Linked DNA regions of Rattus norvegicus. The protein of the gene in region 2 purifies or fractionates together with the protein of the main gene of each other region. This does not show direct contact. Links are inferred from orthologs where the notes say so. Each region holds a gene or a part of one and is shown on either strand. Other genes may lie near its edges.

Region 1 (7,390 bases), on a different chromosome or scaffold from region 2:
ATTATTCCTATTAACTTTAAGTGCCTAACTCTTACCTGCATTGCGAGATCTAAGAGTTCCTTAGAAACATGTTGGTTGGCTCCTTCCAGGTTCCGTACAAGGTCACCAGCAAAATTGCTGTCCTTTGGGGTCAGTAAGGTATAGGCTACACCCTTCTCACCAGCTCTTCCTGTTCGGCCAATCCTATGAGTATGGGTATCAATGTCTCGTGCAACATCATAGTTAATGACTGTCTTAATTGAAGGAATATCCAGACCACGGGCTGAAATAGAAAGTATTGAGATTCTTTTACTTTTTATCTATATTTAAGAAAAAATAAAAAATGAATTAACTAGAAATGCTAGATTTATAAGATTGTGCATTTCCCATATCTAGGCAAGCTCATGGATATGAAGCCAAGAATAAAAAGTAGTTCACTCTATTGGGAGTAACATGAATATTAAAAAAAATCCTGTGAATAATTTTACTGGAATCATACCTGCAATCCCAATACTTGAAAGATGCAGGCGGGATTGGAGTTCAAGGTCACTTGAGCTATCATAAGAATTCATCTCAAAAATACAAACCAGGCAGGGTGCTGCACACCTTCAGTCCCAGTGCTCAGGGGGCAGAGGCGGGTGAATCTCTTGAGTTTGAGGCCAGCCTGGTCTACAGAGTGAGTTCCAGGACAGCAAGGGCTACATAGAGAAATCCTGTCTTGAAAAGTAAAACGAAACAAAACAAAACAAAAACAAAACCCACCAAAACAAACCCCCAAACAAACAAACAAACTAAAATAAGCCCCCCCAAACCCCATACGTTAGTCCTCTAAGGGCTGTAATTCAGTTAGTATTGTGTTTACACGAGGACCTGAGTTCAGTACCCAGAACCTGTGTGTGCATGTGTGTGTGTGTATGTATGCATGTATGCATGCATACATGCATACACCACAGCTTATGTATAGAGGATAGAAAACAACTTGTGGGGTCAGGTTTTCTCGTTCCACCATATCTGAGTCTTGAGTACCAAGCTCAGGCTGTCAGGGCTGGTTAGCAAGTACCCAGTGAACCATCTCGCAGGTCCAAAAAACTAGCTTTTTTTTTTAAAAAGGTTTATTTATTTTATGTATATGAGTACACTGTAGCTGTCTTCAGATACACCAGAAGAGGGCATCAGATCTTATTATAGATGGTTGTGAACCACCATGTGGTTGCTGGGGATTGAACTCAGGACCTCTGGAAGAACTGTCAGTGCTCTTAACCCCTGAGCCATCTCTCCAGCCCCAAAAAACTAGTTTTTAAGGGCAGCTGCTAACCTTAGCAGGGTAAAGCCAAACTTATATTACTAACTTAAGATACACATTGCAGTGAACATGAGGGCATAACTGTTTTCCCCAAGGCATCCTCTGATGACCAAGAACAGTAAGTAAAGGTGGCCACAGAGCCACTGCTCTATATAGGTCTCATTACAGGGAAGGGCAACAGCCATAAAATAAAGGCTCGGGTTATGAAATTTGTACTCTTACCTGCAACGTCAGTGGCCACCAGGACGGGGATGTCTTTTTTCTTAAAATCTAAAATGACCTTGTTTCTTTCACTCTGATCCATGTCCCCATGGAGCAGACCAAGATTATGACCCTCCTGCTTAAGGTTATTGGCCAGTTCTTCAGCGTTGGCTTTCTTGGTAACAAACAAGAGGACACTCCCGGAAGAAGTAAACTCTACCAGACGCCGAGTGAGCCAGTTCCATTTACTAGGTCCAGAATGGAGAATCTCCACAATCTGTGTTACGTCTTCATTTGCCTAAGAGGAAATAAAACAACCAATCATGACTGGTGCCATAGGAGACATCAAAGACTAGGTATTATATTTTCTACCTGCATGGGATTACCCTCTTATTTTTGGGGTTTCCTTAAGTATGTCAAATCCTTACTTACTTAAGTTACTTACTTACTTAGTAAGCTTAAAACTTACTATTCCTTTAAAGCACCTTGCTCACCAACTCCCCCTGGTATGTTCATTTCTAATTTGTATGCCAAAACAATCTGTAATGGCTGTTATATACCTATTTTTATCATTCCCTGGGAAGTACTTTTCAGGGGCCTGCCCGCTCGCTGTCAAACACAATTTATATGTAAGTACATTAACAATTAAGACCCCGACATTTAAAGGTGCTTACCACTCAGAAACTTTAATAATAATCATGAAAAGTTGTAGATATGGTTGACTAATAAATATGTATTTCAATAAAGATCTGTTTCCAACACCAAGAAAGGATAACTATTGGAGGTGTTAGATATTTAATACATGTATGTAATTACACATTACATACATGTATTAAACTGCCACACTGTATCCCCTGAATATTTGTAGTTATGTGTTAAAAACTCTATTGTCCTAGTTGGATTTTTATCAAATTGACACAAAAGAGGCACCTCCATTGACTAAATTACTGTAGGGAATCTGTGGAGTATTTTCTTAGTTAATTGAGAGGGAGAGTCCAGCCTACTGGAGGTGGTAACAACATCTTGGAGTAGGTGGTCCTGGGTTGTATAAGAAAATAGGCTGAGCAAGTCATGGGAGCAGGTCAAGGAACAGTGTTCCTTTCTCCATGGCCTGGGTTTCAGGTCCTGACTTCTCTTCACTCGATTGTACACTAAAATAAACCCTTTCCTTCCCTAGTTGTTTTTGGTCATGGTATTTATCACAGCAACAAAAACCAAGACATTTACATTAAAAAAAAAAAAGTAAAAGTTTCTGGCCTCCATGTGCTAAGGAACACGTGTGAAGGTCAAAGAATAATTTACAGAAATCAGTTTTCACCTTTGACCACGTGAAATGAGGATTGAATTCAGGTTTAGAGGCAAGCACAACTGGCTGAGCCATCTACTGGCCCCAAGGAATTAACAACCTTAACTGAATTCCAAATTCCAACTCAGAGAAATCACCGCGTAAGGGCATATGCAGGGATTCCATGCCACCCTGTGTAGTCTGCTTTAACAGTCAGTGAATGTCTGTTCTGTTCTAATTTCCTGAGGCTTCCAGGAAGATCGTTTGTGAGACAGGGCTTCTCAGTGTAGTATCTCTGGCTGTCCTGGAGCTCACTATGTAGACCAGGTTGGCCACCTGCCTCTGCTGCTTGAGCCGGGATTCAAGAAGTGTGCCACTGCTACCCAGCTCTTTTAAAACTTTAAAACATGTGGAAAAAGCCAGCTGGTGTTTCACGCCTTTAGTCCCAACACTCAGTAGGCAGAAACAGGGATATTTCTGAGTTCAAGGCCAGTCTACACACAGTGAGTTCCAGGACAGCCAGAGAGAGCTACATAGTGAGACCTTGTCTCAAAAAAAAAAAAAAAAAAAAAAAAAAATCCCATATACCCTTCTATGAATCATCTTGTCTGTGCCCCTCTTGTTTGCACGATTCCCTTAACGTGTATATCTTAAAACAAATCCAGGGGCTGGAGAGATAGATGACTTAGCCTTTAAGAACACTAGCTGCTCTTCCAAAAGTCAGGGGTTCAATTCCCAGCATCCACATAGCAGCTCACAACTATCTGTAACTCTAGTTCCAGAGGACCCAATACTGTCACACACATACAAGCAGGCAGAACACCAACACACGTAAAATAAAAATAAACAAATCATTTTAAAAATAGTAAAATAAACTAAATCTAACCAAGTTGCTTCATACTTAAGTGTAACGCTGTAATTCTTAAGTCACTCCTGAAGAGCCGGTACGGCAGCGCCTGCTTTTACGCCCAGCGCTTGGGAGGCAGAGTGCTTATCTACAGAGCTAGTTCCAGGGCATCCAGGGCTATAGAGAAATCCTATCTCAAAGCAAAGCAAAAACCAAGAATCCAACAACAAAGCAATCATTCCTTAAGAACTAAACTCCACGTCCTTATGACAAATCAATCCCAGGACCCTCCCTGCCTTCTGCAGGATTACCTCTCCGATGTCTCCTTGTACCACTCGGATAGGATCAATCAAGATGTCTCTGGCCAATTTTTCAATCTTTTTCCGAAAAGTTGCACTGAATAAGAGAGCTAAAAAAGATAAAGCAAATTCTGTTAAAAATCATTTTTTTACTGAATTCATTCTTTAAGCTTCTGTAATGTAACTGATTCACTAAATAAAAATGATTTAACTTCATTTTCAAACAAGAAATGAATGAGTTGCCATAATAGTTTAAGAAAAGACTTAACTTTGAATCAGATTTATACTGCAGGAAATTATTTAAGTTCAGTCTTAGTCCCAATAAAAAGTGAACAGTGTGCTGGGCCTGGTGTCATGAACCCATAATCCCAGCTATTTGGAGGAGGAAGCATGAAGGAGTACTGCAAGTTTACAGCCGACTGGGCTATAGTGAGTTCAAGGACAGCCTAGTCATCTTAGCAAGACTCTACCTAAAAAACAAGGTTAAAAAGGAGGTTGGATATACATATATAGCTCAGAGAGGTAGAGTGTTTGTCTAACGTACATGAAGCCATAGGTTCGATACCAGAGGCAACAACAAGACACCTGATGATGTCTAAGGTCTTTTCTAGGTCAAATAAATGTCATTAACTCTCTTCTTTGCAGCACTCGTCAGTACATAAATAGCAATTTTTGCTTCTATAGCAATGAGTACTTATAAAGGATCAGGGTTCACTTCGAATACAGAGATAGCATACAGCTGCTTCATACATACTTTGTCTGTCAGGACGGACATGACTTGCTATGGACCGAACCTGATACTCTGAAAGAAACAGAACAGTTATCAACACACTACTGTAATGTACTTAAGACAGGTGTGAAAATTCACTTTAGTAAAATCCAAGAACTTTCACGAATTAAAAAAGCCTTGAAACTCCTAGACACCATTCAGTATGAAATTTCAAAACACCCAACATAACTGAACTGGGTAGATAGTGGTTATTTAGAAATTTGTATAGCTCAGTTAAGAAAAGGACCCTGGATGATTCAGTATTCACCTATCCATAGGAATATAGACTTTAACCAACTTTAATCTTCAAAGGCCTGCAAGTGAAAGTGAAGAACAGAAAACATTCCTTCTTTCTGAAGATACGTGCAAATTTTTTCAACACAGTCAAGACTAGCACACTTCTCTTCAGAAAACTACAAATGGTTTATGGCTTGGCCTATCCCTTTATTTGAAACCCCGAAGAGTTTTTAACTTCTTTCATGACGAAAAGTACTGGTTAACTCTACAAAGATACGGAAAAAACTAACTTAAGACTAGGGACAGGAGAAACTAATACTCAAGGCATACCAAACCCCATGTCGAACATTCGATCAGCTTCATCAAACACAAGGTAAGAGACTCTTTGAAGATTGGTAGCTTTTTTCTTCACATGATCAATCAGCCGACCCTGGGAGAGTCACAAAATGAGTAGTAAGTATAATCAAATCATTCAAAGACACTCTTTAGATATACTCCTGGAAAAGTGTCAATTCTTTGGTCTTGAACCAAAATGATATGACAGTCTTTCTATACCAAACCCAGAGAGTAGAAAAAGCACTTTTGGGTACTGTTCACAGATAGTCTGAGGCTCACAGAGGTCTGACTGCTACCTCTAAGTGCTGGGACTACAGGCAGGCACCACCATACTAAGTGAGACTAGAATTCTGAAAACTTCAAGTTCTTCTTTTACATTAATTCTAGCTTAAAGTCTATGGGCAAATGGGTCAGGACCTTTCTTGTAATGTACTCTGAAAAGATTTAAAATCTTATGGATGAATTTTATGCCTACCCTACATCCCCTGGGCAGGTCTAACCATTATCTGAGCATCTCTATGGTTCCTAATGTTCTTGGTAACCATAGACCCAGCTTTTAAGAGAGCCTAAGAAACCCAGTTTAAAATAGGAACTTAGAGCTGCTGATACATTAGTCATGGACATTATAACCAGACTGCTGTTCAGTCAGCCAATCAAAATGAACGAGAGCAAAGGCTGGCGCCTCACAGGATATCCTTGCCCAGCTCTCCCATATTTAGAGGGAGTCCCTCAAGAGCAATCATGCTTTCTCTATCAGGAAAGACAGACAACACATCTGAAGACAAGATATACTTACCGGGGTACACACAACAATCTCTGCCCCTTCCTGAAGGGCCTTGGCCTGCTCCCACATGCTCCCTCCTCCATATACTGCCACTGATCGAAGATTATATGCTTTCCCAAAACGCTTGCACTCGGCGTGGATCTAAGAAGTTGTTAATAATATTTTAAAAACTATAAACTTAAAAAAAAAAATAGAGTTTTTACCCAGTTTGAGTTCTGAAAACACAGTATGTGCTATTATAGAAAATTAAAATGTAGCTGTGCCTAGTGGTATAGTATAGGCTTGTAATTTAACTAGGTGGTTAAAGCAGAAAGATGGCAAGTTTTAAATCTAACCTGGGTAACTTAACAAGACACAATCTCAAAAAACAAGCTGGAGAAAAAGAAACAGGTCTGGGCATATAGATCAACACTTGTCTGGCATTCAAGGGTTGTGTTCAATTCCTATTACTGAAACACACACGCACGCACGCACACGCACACACACCCCAACCACCAAAACAATAACAACCATAAAAAACAAAAACCTGTTTAAAATCATGATCATTAGAACATGCTTAACGTCAAAATTCTTTTGTTTCTTTAGTTTCTGTTTTTTTGTTTTGAGGTAGAATCTCTGTTTCTGTCTGTCCTGAATCTGCCCTGGCCTCCTGAGCGCTGGAACAGGATGCATCGGCTACCACACCCAGCTTAACCACAGAACAAGGCTATGGTCTTCACTTGAATCACTTACCTTCTTCTTGATCCAGTCTTTCTATCAAGAAAACTGAACTCACTACACAGAAAACACTGTGAGCTTATAATATAAACAATTCCCACAATACCCACACCATTTTGAGAGTTAAAAAAAAAATCCTTATTATTGAAAATATGTAACATTTTTTCAAGACTTCACAGGGAAGATAATAATGTAAAAAACTTAATGTCAGCCACTGAACTAGATATTTAAAATGGGTAAGATGGCCAATTTTGTATACAGTTTTATCATATTTAAAACAAAAGTCAGAGGAAGTTGGGGAGATGGTTCAGTGGGCTAAACACTTGTCATGCAAGTGAGGAATGGCACTGTGACTTGTAGAAGCCACACAAGCTGGTGGGACGTGCCTGCCAAGGACCCCAGGAGCATCCAGGAGGTGGAGACAGAATATGTGGAACAGCCTCGCAGCCAGGCTAGCAGTAATAGCTCAGCAAATGTGAGAGTGAACCCTGACGACACCCAAAGTCAACCTCAGACTTCTCGTATGTGACTCCACATGTATGTGTGTGCCAAGCACGCACCTCCAAGCAACAATAACTAAACTTTATAGATCGTTCTACTCACTGTCCTTGCTAGTCCAAATGCAGAAAGGGG
Region 2 (8,053 bases):
CAGCACCTGGGGGCTCTTGGCAACACTAAGGGAATGACTGCTATGAGAACAGAGAAGGTGGCTGTGTGTCCCAGGGTCAAGAGTATGTCGGGTACCAGAGCCCAGGATTCATTCATGCCACAGCCCACAGTTGTGGGCTGGCCATCACACACAGACACACACACACACCTTTGTAGCCAGGGCGGCCAATCTTCACAAACTTCTTCACCTCCACCTTGACCTTCTCTGGTGCAGGCTGGGCGGGGGCTTCTTTGGCCTCCTTGGCAGCTCGCCGGGCCCTGTGAACAGACGCAGGTGCTTGGCCCCTCCACCAGTCACCAAGGCCAAGCACCCAGGTGCCAGAGCCCCTGCTCTCTGAGTTCAAGAAGATTGGGTGGTTCAGCCCTGGGATACACCAAGCAGGGCAGGATAGGTGACAATGTGGCACCACCACTGTCCTTGCCCCTTGGCCATCTGCTCTGTACTGAGACAGTCAGGCTGAAACACAGGGTGGGGGTGGGGCTGAGAATGTAGATGCAGGCCACCTGTCCCCTTCCCTCCCCATCCACACAGCTCAAGTGAAGGGTCCCCTCCTGAGTAGCAGCGTTGTGGTACTGGGGTACCAGGGCTGTGAGCGCTCACAAGTTAGTCTGATGTTTCTTCCCTTGGGTATGGGCCAGGTAGCTCCCCTGCAAAGAGAAAGAAGACAGGCAGCTGAGGGTGGGGCGGGCAGGACCGGCACCTCGCAGAGCAGCTGTAATGGTAGCCCTGGGGAGCCTGCGGGGCCTTACAGTAGCTGTGGCTGCACTTGGGAGACTTGTGACTTGTTACTGCACCCATCCCTGCCCAGAGATTCCTCTGAGTAGGGGTAGAGCAACACCGTCAGTCTTCAGTGCTGAGCCCACCGCCGGGGATGGGCAGCGGTTTGAAGGAGCTCCCAACAGAGGTGTGGGGCCTAGGGCACTGCTCATCACCACCCCATTGTCAACACAGCCAAATGTGTTCCATCCACTGTTGATCTGGTCCTCCAGTGAGAGGGGTGGGGAGGCAACTCCCAGAGTCCTCTCCCCCCAGAAAGAGTCAGCAGCCACACCTCTCCCTGAGCCCTCAGAGTGCAGAGGCATCCATTACTATTTGCAAGGCATTCACAGAGCAAACAGTCAGAGGAAAAGGATAAGGAGTAGCTGGTGCCCAGCCAACCTGTGTTGTTATGTTAGAGGGCCGGCAGGGACAGAGGCAGGGGCATCAGGAGTACAGTGAGCCCCAGGCTAGTCAGTGCTGCCTCAAGGACTGACCAGGGATGAAGTTCACTTCTTACCCAGCATGGCTAAGCCCTAGGCTGAGCTCTGACCCCCAGGGATAAGAAAAAAAGGAATTCAAGGAAACCAGAGCAATACTAAGGGAGTGGTTGGCTCCAGGTGACAGGTCCAAGGCCGACCAGTGTCACCAGGCCAGTGCAGAATGGTGGAAGTCTGGTGGGCAGGTACCTCATTGTTATGCAGAGTCAAGCAGAGTTTGCACTCATAGGATCCCAGGTGGTTCTTCATGAAATACGGGTCCTGGGAGTGAAGAAATGTACCGTGAGACCGCACAGCCTGGCCCCGGGACCCAAGGACCAAGGTGGGCAAGGTGAGGGCTCTGCAGGCCTGGAGACTCTCCCTCCCCCACCTTATTGATGTCGATGGTTTCCAGGGCCAGTTGCCGCAGGCGCTCTCTTCGATCCCGGTTGCTCTCTGAGGAGGAGGCCACGCCCCCACTCCCAGTTTTGCCTCCAGGTCGGTGCTGAAAGTCCATGATGCAGGCCTGGGTACTTTAGGGGACAGGAGAAACCTGGGGAGCAAGGAAGACTAAGGCTTAGAACCCTGCTGATGATGCTAGGACCGCGGGATGGCCCAGCATGCAAGCCATCCCTTCTCTGACCTCCTGATCCTCCCAAGTGCTGTGACTACCATTGAGCCGCCTCTCCCTGATGTAACATATGATTACTATTATTGTTGTTGTTATTATTGAGGGAGGAGTCTCTACGTAGTCATGGCTATCTTAGAACTCTCCTCACACATTAGGCTGGCCTCTGCCTACCTCTGCTGGCATTAGAGGACACACCCTCCTCTGCCTGACACAAGGAATGCTCGATACCAAGGGTCTCACCTTGGAGGCTCAGCCAAAGCCTCCAGACAGTGTTACCTGAGGCAGAACACTTAAGACTACTCAGTCTACTGGTAAACCTACAGTAAACCCAGGGCCAGCGACCAGGAGACAAGTAGAGACAGCTCTTGTCATCATCACTGGTGCCTCCCATAGCACAAGGGGCTCTACAAATGTGACCAAGAACCTTGAGGGCAGGTACCCAGTTACTACAATGTCACTAGAGTGTGCTCAAGGCTGACAGGCCACTGACAGCACTGGCTGTCAAGGAGGAAGAGGCCAGAAGGCAAAGGATACAGGATGCTCTAGGTGCTGAGAGGGACGGCTTGAGAGGTGTACACTGAAGTGGCGGGACAGGAGCAGCCTATTAGATGTTTTGTACTCAGCCAAAGACTGAGAAGGGCATCGTCTACATCATCCAGAGCTACCAACAGACACACTCCCAGAGATGAAGCTGGCCAGACACGAGAGTACAGCCAAACGGTGGGAGAATCAATTGGCTTCTCAGAGTTAGGGGCACCCACAAGCAGCAGCAGCAGGATGGAAAACCACTCCAGGCTCAGGCAAAGACAACTCTTGAGAACATAGGACTCTGTGGCTGGCCTCCCCAGGGAGGCTGGGTGTCCATCCACAGACTTGACGGTGCCACTCAAGGAGAACACTTGTCCAGCATGCACTGGGTCCCCTGGGGGGGCATGCTTGAGGTTGAGTGCATGGATATCCACTGCAGAAATGTAGTTCATCAGCTTTGGAAGGAAAGCAGAATAAAACTGGCCTGGGTGAGCATACTGCTTGGCCCAGTGGATGGAGCACAAAGTTTTGCAAACGCTCACCAATGAACTACCGCCTCAGCCCACCAACAGTTCCCAACCTCAGGAAACAGAAAACATGGGGCATGGCAGTGTATACATTTCCTTCCAGCTCCCTTAGAGGCCAAGGTAGAAAGATGATGGGTATAATTTGAGACCAAACTGGGCTGTGCAGTGAGATCTGTCTCAAATAAAAGACAAAAGGGTGCTGGGTAGGCTGGCAAGATGACTTAGTGGCAGATCACAACCACCAGAAACTCCAGCTCCAGGGAACCTGACAGTCTCTCCTGGACTTGACGTTATCATACTCACACATGAAGCTCCACATGGACACACATTTGGAAAAAAAATCTTTAAAAACACGGGAAAGGGATTCCAATACCAGCTTTTATCTGCTTCCTGACTATGGCTGTAACACGACCACCATAGTGGACTGCACCTTCATACTATCAGTCAAAATAAACCTTCCTTAAAACAAAACAGTCAAGTGTAGTGGCACACGCTGTAAATCTCAGTATGCGGGAGGCAGAGGTATGGGAGTGTATGTGAGCTCGAAATCGGCCTAGTCCACACAGGGTTCCAGGTCAGCCTCAGTTATGCCGTGAGACGCTGTCTGAAATAAAGTAAAATTGTGCCGATGACTGGATGGACTCACAAGTGAAGCCTGGGACAAGAGACCAGGATGAATGGTTGGGAGCCGTGCGACCTCACGGACTACTCTAAGATTACCGATGAACGATCAATAGAAACAGAAGAGTAGTATATGTTAAGGTCACGGTCTGGGAGAAGGCCTGCCTGGTCTAAAGGCAAATCACTTTTTTTTTCTTTTTTCTATTTTTCGGAGCTGGGGACCGAACTCAGGGCCTTGCGCTTGCTAGGCAAGCGCTCTACCACTGAGCTAAATCCCCAACCCCGCAAATCACTTTTAAATGCATATACCGTTATCTTTTAATCCGAGCAACAGACCTACTACAGTGGACAGGAGCAGTAGTCGCCATGGCCCTGACTAACGGCGAGGGAAACTGAGGCAAACAAGCAGGTTAAATGACATTCCAAGAACCCGAACCACCCTAGAGGCCACGGAACCGCCACAAAAGTCCGCGATCACGCCACGACTCAAAGGACCTCGCGAGACCGCGCTCTTAGGGCGAGGGTGCGCCACGCCTAAGGGGAAAGGGCGGCCGCTGCCCCGCCAGGCCCCACGCTCTCGCTCCTACTTTCAAGACCCACAGACGGGGCAGCCGCCACCGACAAACCGCGTAGTTCCTTACCAACACCAAGGCCTCGGTAACTGGGCTTAACCTCCCCGAATGCCGCGATTTTGTTGTGCGCATGCGCACGACCGCTTGAGCAATCACTTCCGGGGGCAAGGAAGGCGGAGTTTCATGTGTGCGCATGCCCAGCGAATGGACTCCCCCTACGGGAGGCGGGAGAAAAAAAAAAGAGCGCCGGGACACGGAGTACGCGTGCGCACTGCATTGTCTACGAATTCTTGCTCCGCCCTAACTCTGTTGGCGCTGACTATCGCGACAGGACTTAAACCTCAGGGTTCACAGGCCCGGGAACGAGCTTCGCGTATCGTGAGGTGCTATGAGTCTAAATTTACACCCCACGTTCAGTGTGTCTGACGGTTATTTAAGGACGGGCGATTTCCTTCCCGTCCGACTCCTTGTTCTACTGTGCTGACCCACCAACTAGCGTCACGCAACACGCCCAACAACGCGCAGGCGCAGTAGCACCGTTGGGACTTACGAGGTCGCTTCCTGAGACTTTTGTGGCGCTAGTAGCGGCTTCGGGCAGGACGGCGGCCGAGAGGCAGGGCGCGTTTTGGTTCGCGCGGATCCGGGCGGCGAGATGCGGTACAACGAGAAAGAGTTGCAAGCGCTGTCCCGGCAGCCGGCAGAGATGGCGGCCGAGCTGGGCATGCGGGGCCCCAAGAAGGGCAGCGGTGAGCTGGTCCGGGCCGGGGCTGGGACACTTGGGCGGGCCGCGGGGTTCCCCGGTGGGCGGATGACAGCAGTTGCGCGCTGACACCGCCCTCTGCCTGCAGTGGCCAAGAGGCGGCTGGTGAAGCTGGTGGTCAACTTCCTCTTTTACTTCCGCCCGGACGAGGCCGAGGTAGGGGTGTGGGGGGCGCGGGGGACCCGCGCGGCCCAGAGGCCGGTGCTCATGGCCGTGTCTCGCGCAGCCCCTCGGAGCCCTGTTGCTGGAGCGCTGCAGAGTGGCCCAGGAAGAGCCGGGAGGCTTCTCCATCAGTAAGTGTTCTGTTCCCCACTTTCCACCCCGGACTCTGCTCCGCGCACGCGATCCTTTTTACTCCCTTAGGAATCTCCATTTGTCCTGGATCTCGCGTCCGCTGGTGGCCCATGACTGTCCCAGCTGTCACTCAGAGTGACCACTGGGTCAGGTTCTCATCTTAGTTTCTTCCCCGATCCTCTGCCGGTTTACGGCCGAGAGAGGTGCAGTCTGTGAACTTGGTGTGTATAACTGAAGCAGTCTCTGCCGTGGGAGTGAGTGTGCGGGCAGGGCTTTGAGGCCTTGAAGGACACCTGTCTCAGCCTTCACCTCTGGAGAGGTCTTTCTGCTGCGTACCTTGTAGAGATTTGTCCATCGTGTCTACCTCTGTCATCCAGTGGGGTTCTCCATCTGTACCCCTATTTTCTGCTTCTTGTACATGTGCACGCATGGGTTTCTGGGTGTGAGTATGCCAGAAAGGCCAGCGGAAAACTTGTGTAGTTGGATTTCATCTTCCACTGTGTAGGCCTCCAACATAAAACACTGGTCATTAGGCTTGTCAGCAGGCTCCTACCTGCTTGGCCACCTCACTGTCCCAACCCGGACTTGTTTTTAAGCTATATTGACCGGCCAGCAAATCGGTCTCTTCAGCACGGAGTTGCACTCTGCTCTTTGACGTGCACTGCTGGGGCTTGAACTCAGGGCCTCACGATTACATGAGGCACTTTAACCACTGAGCCATCTGCCCTGTCCTATTCCCATTTATTTTGGGAATGACCTTACTTAGCCAATTACATTCCCAATAATCCAACTTCCCAGTGGGTCCCCTATTTGTGAGTTCAGAGGTCAGGATTCTTCAGCCTGTGACAGGCAGAAGATGGCTTGGTGTTAGAACAAGTTTGAAACAAGTTCAGTTTGAAACCCTGTTGAGAAGAAGCTGGGACTTGGGGCCAGCAGGATATAGACCAACCTGACAGTGACAAGAGGTGGCGTCTTTCCTTTATCCCTTTCCAGGCTTCGTGGAAGACCTCAGCAGGAAATATCACTTTGAATGCTGTAGCCAAGAGCAGTGCCAGGAATGGATGGAGGCTCTGCAGCGGGCCAGGTGGGGCTTTAGGGACTGCTGGGAGCTGGGTGGAAACATGGGGGAATGTGACCAGTGAGCCCAGCCCTTTCCTCCAGCTACGAATACATGAGACGGAGCCTCATCTTCTACAGGAATGAGATCAGGAAGATGACCGGCAAGGTGTGTGGGGCTGGAGGGACCGGGCAGTTTTCCCTGGCCCTGCTCACAATCACTGTGCATTCCACAGGACCCGCTGGAGCAGTTCGGCATCTCCGAGGAGGCCAGGTTCCAGCTGAGTAGCCTGCCTAAGGATGCTTCTTGCATTGGCTCCCAGCTACATGTGTTGGACTGACCCCCTCTGGGCCCCCGGCTACCCTGGGAAGTTTTGTTTTTTAAATAGGTTTAAATACATCTGTTCAAAGGTCCAGAGGAGGTAGGCAGGGTCTGTGGTCCTTGCTCTCCCTGCCATCTCCCTGCTGGCACCCTTTGACTGTGCACATCCAGGGACAGCGCCCCTGTCCATGGCCAGATGAATGTATAATGCTAAAGCTGTGAACCCCACTCCTGCTGATAGAGCAGGCGTTGGTGCTGGCCTTCAGTGCTGAGCCCACTCTTTAATAAAGGTACCTCTTTTGTGAATCACATTGGAGTGAGAAAAAGGAGGGAGACATTGCTGGTGGGCACTATTTAGGGGGCAGAGAGAAGAGGCTCTTTCCAAGACAGCCAGGGCTAGAGAGAGAAACCCTGTCTGGAAAAACAAAACAACCAGGAAAGGTGGGTTGGTGGAACACGCAGAAGTGCAGGTGCAGCTACAGGCAGGATTTTGGGGCGAACAAGCCTTTGTTTTCCATGTGCCTGATCCTGGGCTGGATATGCTTAATGGGGAGATACGGGCTTTCCGGGTCATACACATATAAGTGGGAGTCCTAGGTGCCCTGACGCGGAAAGGCAGTGTTCTGCCCAAGTGGTAAGGGACACATAAGTCCTGGCTTTCTAAACATTGTCTTAGTCAGGATTGGATTCTTTTTTTTTTTCTTTCTTTTTTTTTTTCCGGAGCTGGGGACTGAACCCAGGGCCTTGCGTTTGCTAGGCAAGCACTCTACCGCTGAGCTAAATCCCCAACCCCAGGATTGGATTCTTAAGTGAGACTATGTCCTCCCAAAGTGTCACTGTCAGCCTCACAGGAGATAGGCTTGCTGCTCTTCTAGTCCAGGTCAGACAACAGGCAAAGAAGACTGCACTGAAGGGTTCAAGTGGAAACGGCTTTATTTATCATAGTCTGGAGGCAGCAACAATGTGTGAGATGCCTTGGGGAGACCAAGGGAAGAGAACAACGCACCCGTTAAGTACAGAGGTCATTACAAGGCAGAGCGATGCTGCATCAAGTTACAAACAGGCCAGGCTGTCAAAAGAGCTGTGTAGGTTGAGGGTGGGAACTGGGAGGTGTGTTCCTCTGGGCTAGCGTGGGAGTAGGGCTTGCTATCAGTTCCTGAGCTCAAAGCCCTGCAGCAACCTTGGGTTGGCAAGGACGTCTGAGGCAGCCTTATCTTATACTAGGACCATCAGCCCCAGAGTGCCTGGGGCCACCATGCAGCATGGTCAGTTTACTGTGGGTCCCTTTCTTACGGGCTCAGGAGAGGACTTGCAGCTGTGCCTGGAGCACCTGTGGCCACTGGGCCATGAACATGCAGTGTCTGTCCCCTAACTCTCAAGTAAGGTGGAGGCAGCGACTGCTGAAGCAGCTGCCAGGATAGTGGGCCGTGCGTACAGTGTTCACTCAAGGTTTTGTTCCAAGCCTGGGGTTTGCTAGCTTTTGTTT

Evidence for each region. The genes of interacting proteins can lie anywhere in the genome.
Region 1: the proteins of Sf3a2 (region 2) and Ddx42 purify together in Homo sapiens (affinity purification with mass spectrometry; 3 studies listed by BioGRID and IntAct, with this or other methods). This does not show direct contact. The link is inferred for Rattus norvegicus from reciprocal best matches to the Homo sapiens genes SF3A2 and DDX42.

What each region holds. Positions count from the first base shown.
Region 1 is NC_086028.1:91,667,884-91,675,273, reverse strand, and holds part of Ddx42 (ATP-dependent RNA helicase DDX42), read right to left. Parts: intron 6,182-7,390; coding exon 6,053-6,181; intron 5,351-6,052; coding exon 5,251-5,350; intron 4,717-5,250; coding exon 4,669-4,716; intron 4,025-4,668; coding exon 3,927-4,024; intron 1,782-3,926; coding exon 1,505-1,781; intron 263-1,504; coding exon 36-262; intron 1-35. UniProt on the Homo sapiens protein: ATP-dependent RNA helicase that binds to partially double-stranded RNAs (dsRNAs) in order to unwind RNA secondary structures. Unwinding is promoted in the presence of single-strand binding proteins.
Region 2 is NC_086025.1:9,561,957-9,570,009, forward strand, and holds the start of Sf3a2 (splicing factor 3A subunit 2), read right to left. Parts: upstream 4,244-8,053; 5' UTR 4,205-4,243; intron 1,810-4,204; 5' UTR 1,774-1,809; coding exon 1,648-1,773; intron 1,539-1,647; coding exon 1,467-1,538; intron 669-1,466; coding exon 622-668; intron 279-621; coding exon 169-278; intron 1-168. Other genes in the region: Plekhj1 (pleckstrin homology domain-containing family J member 1), read left to right, coding at 4,340-4,518, 4,632-4,881, 5,122-5,188, 6,183-6,273, 6,351-6,414. UniProt on the Homo sapiens protein: Component of the 17S U2 SnRNP complex of the spliceosome, a large ribonucleoprotein complex that removes introns from transcribed pre-mRNAs.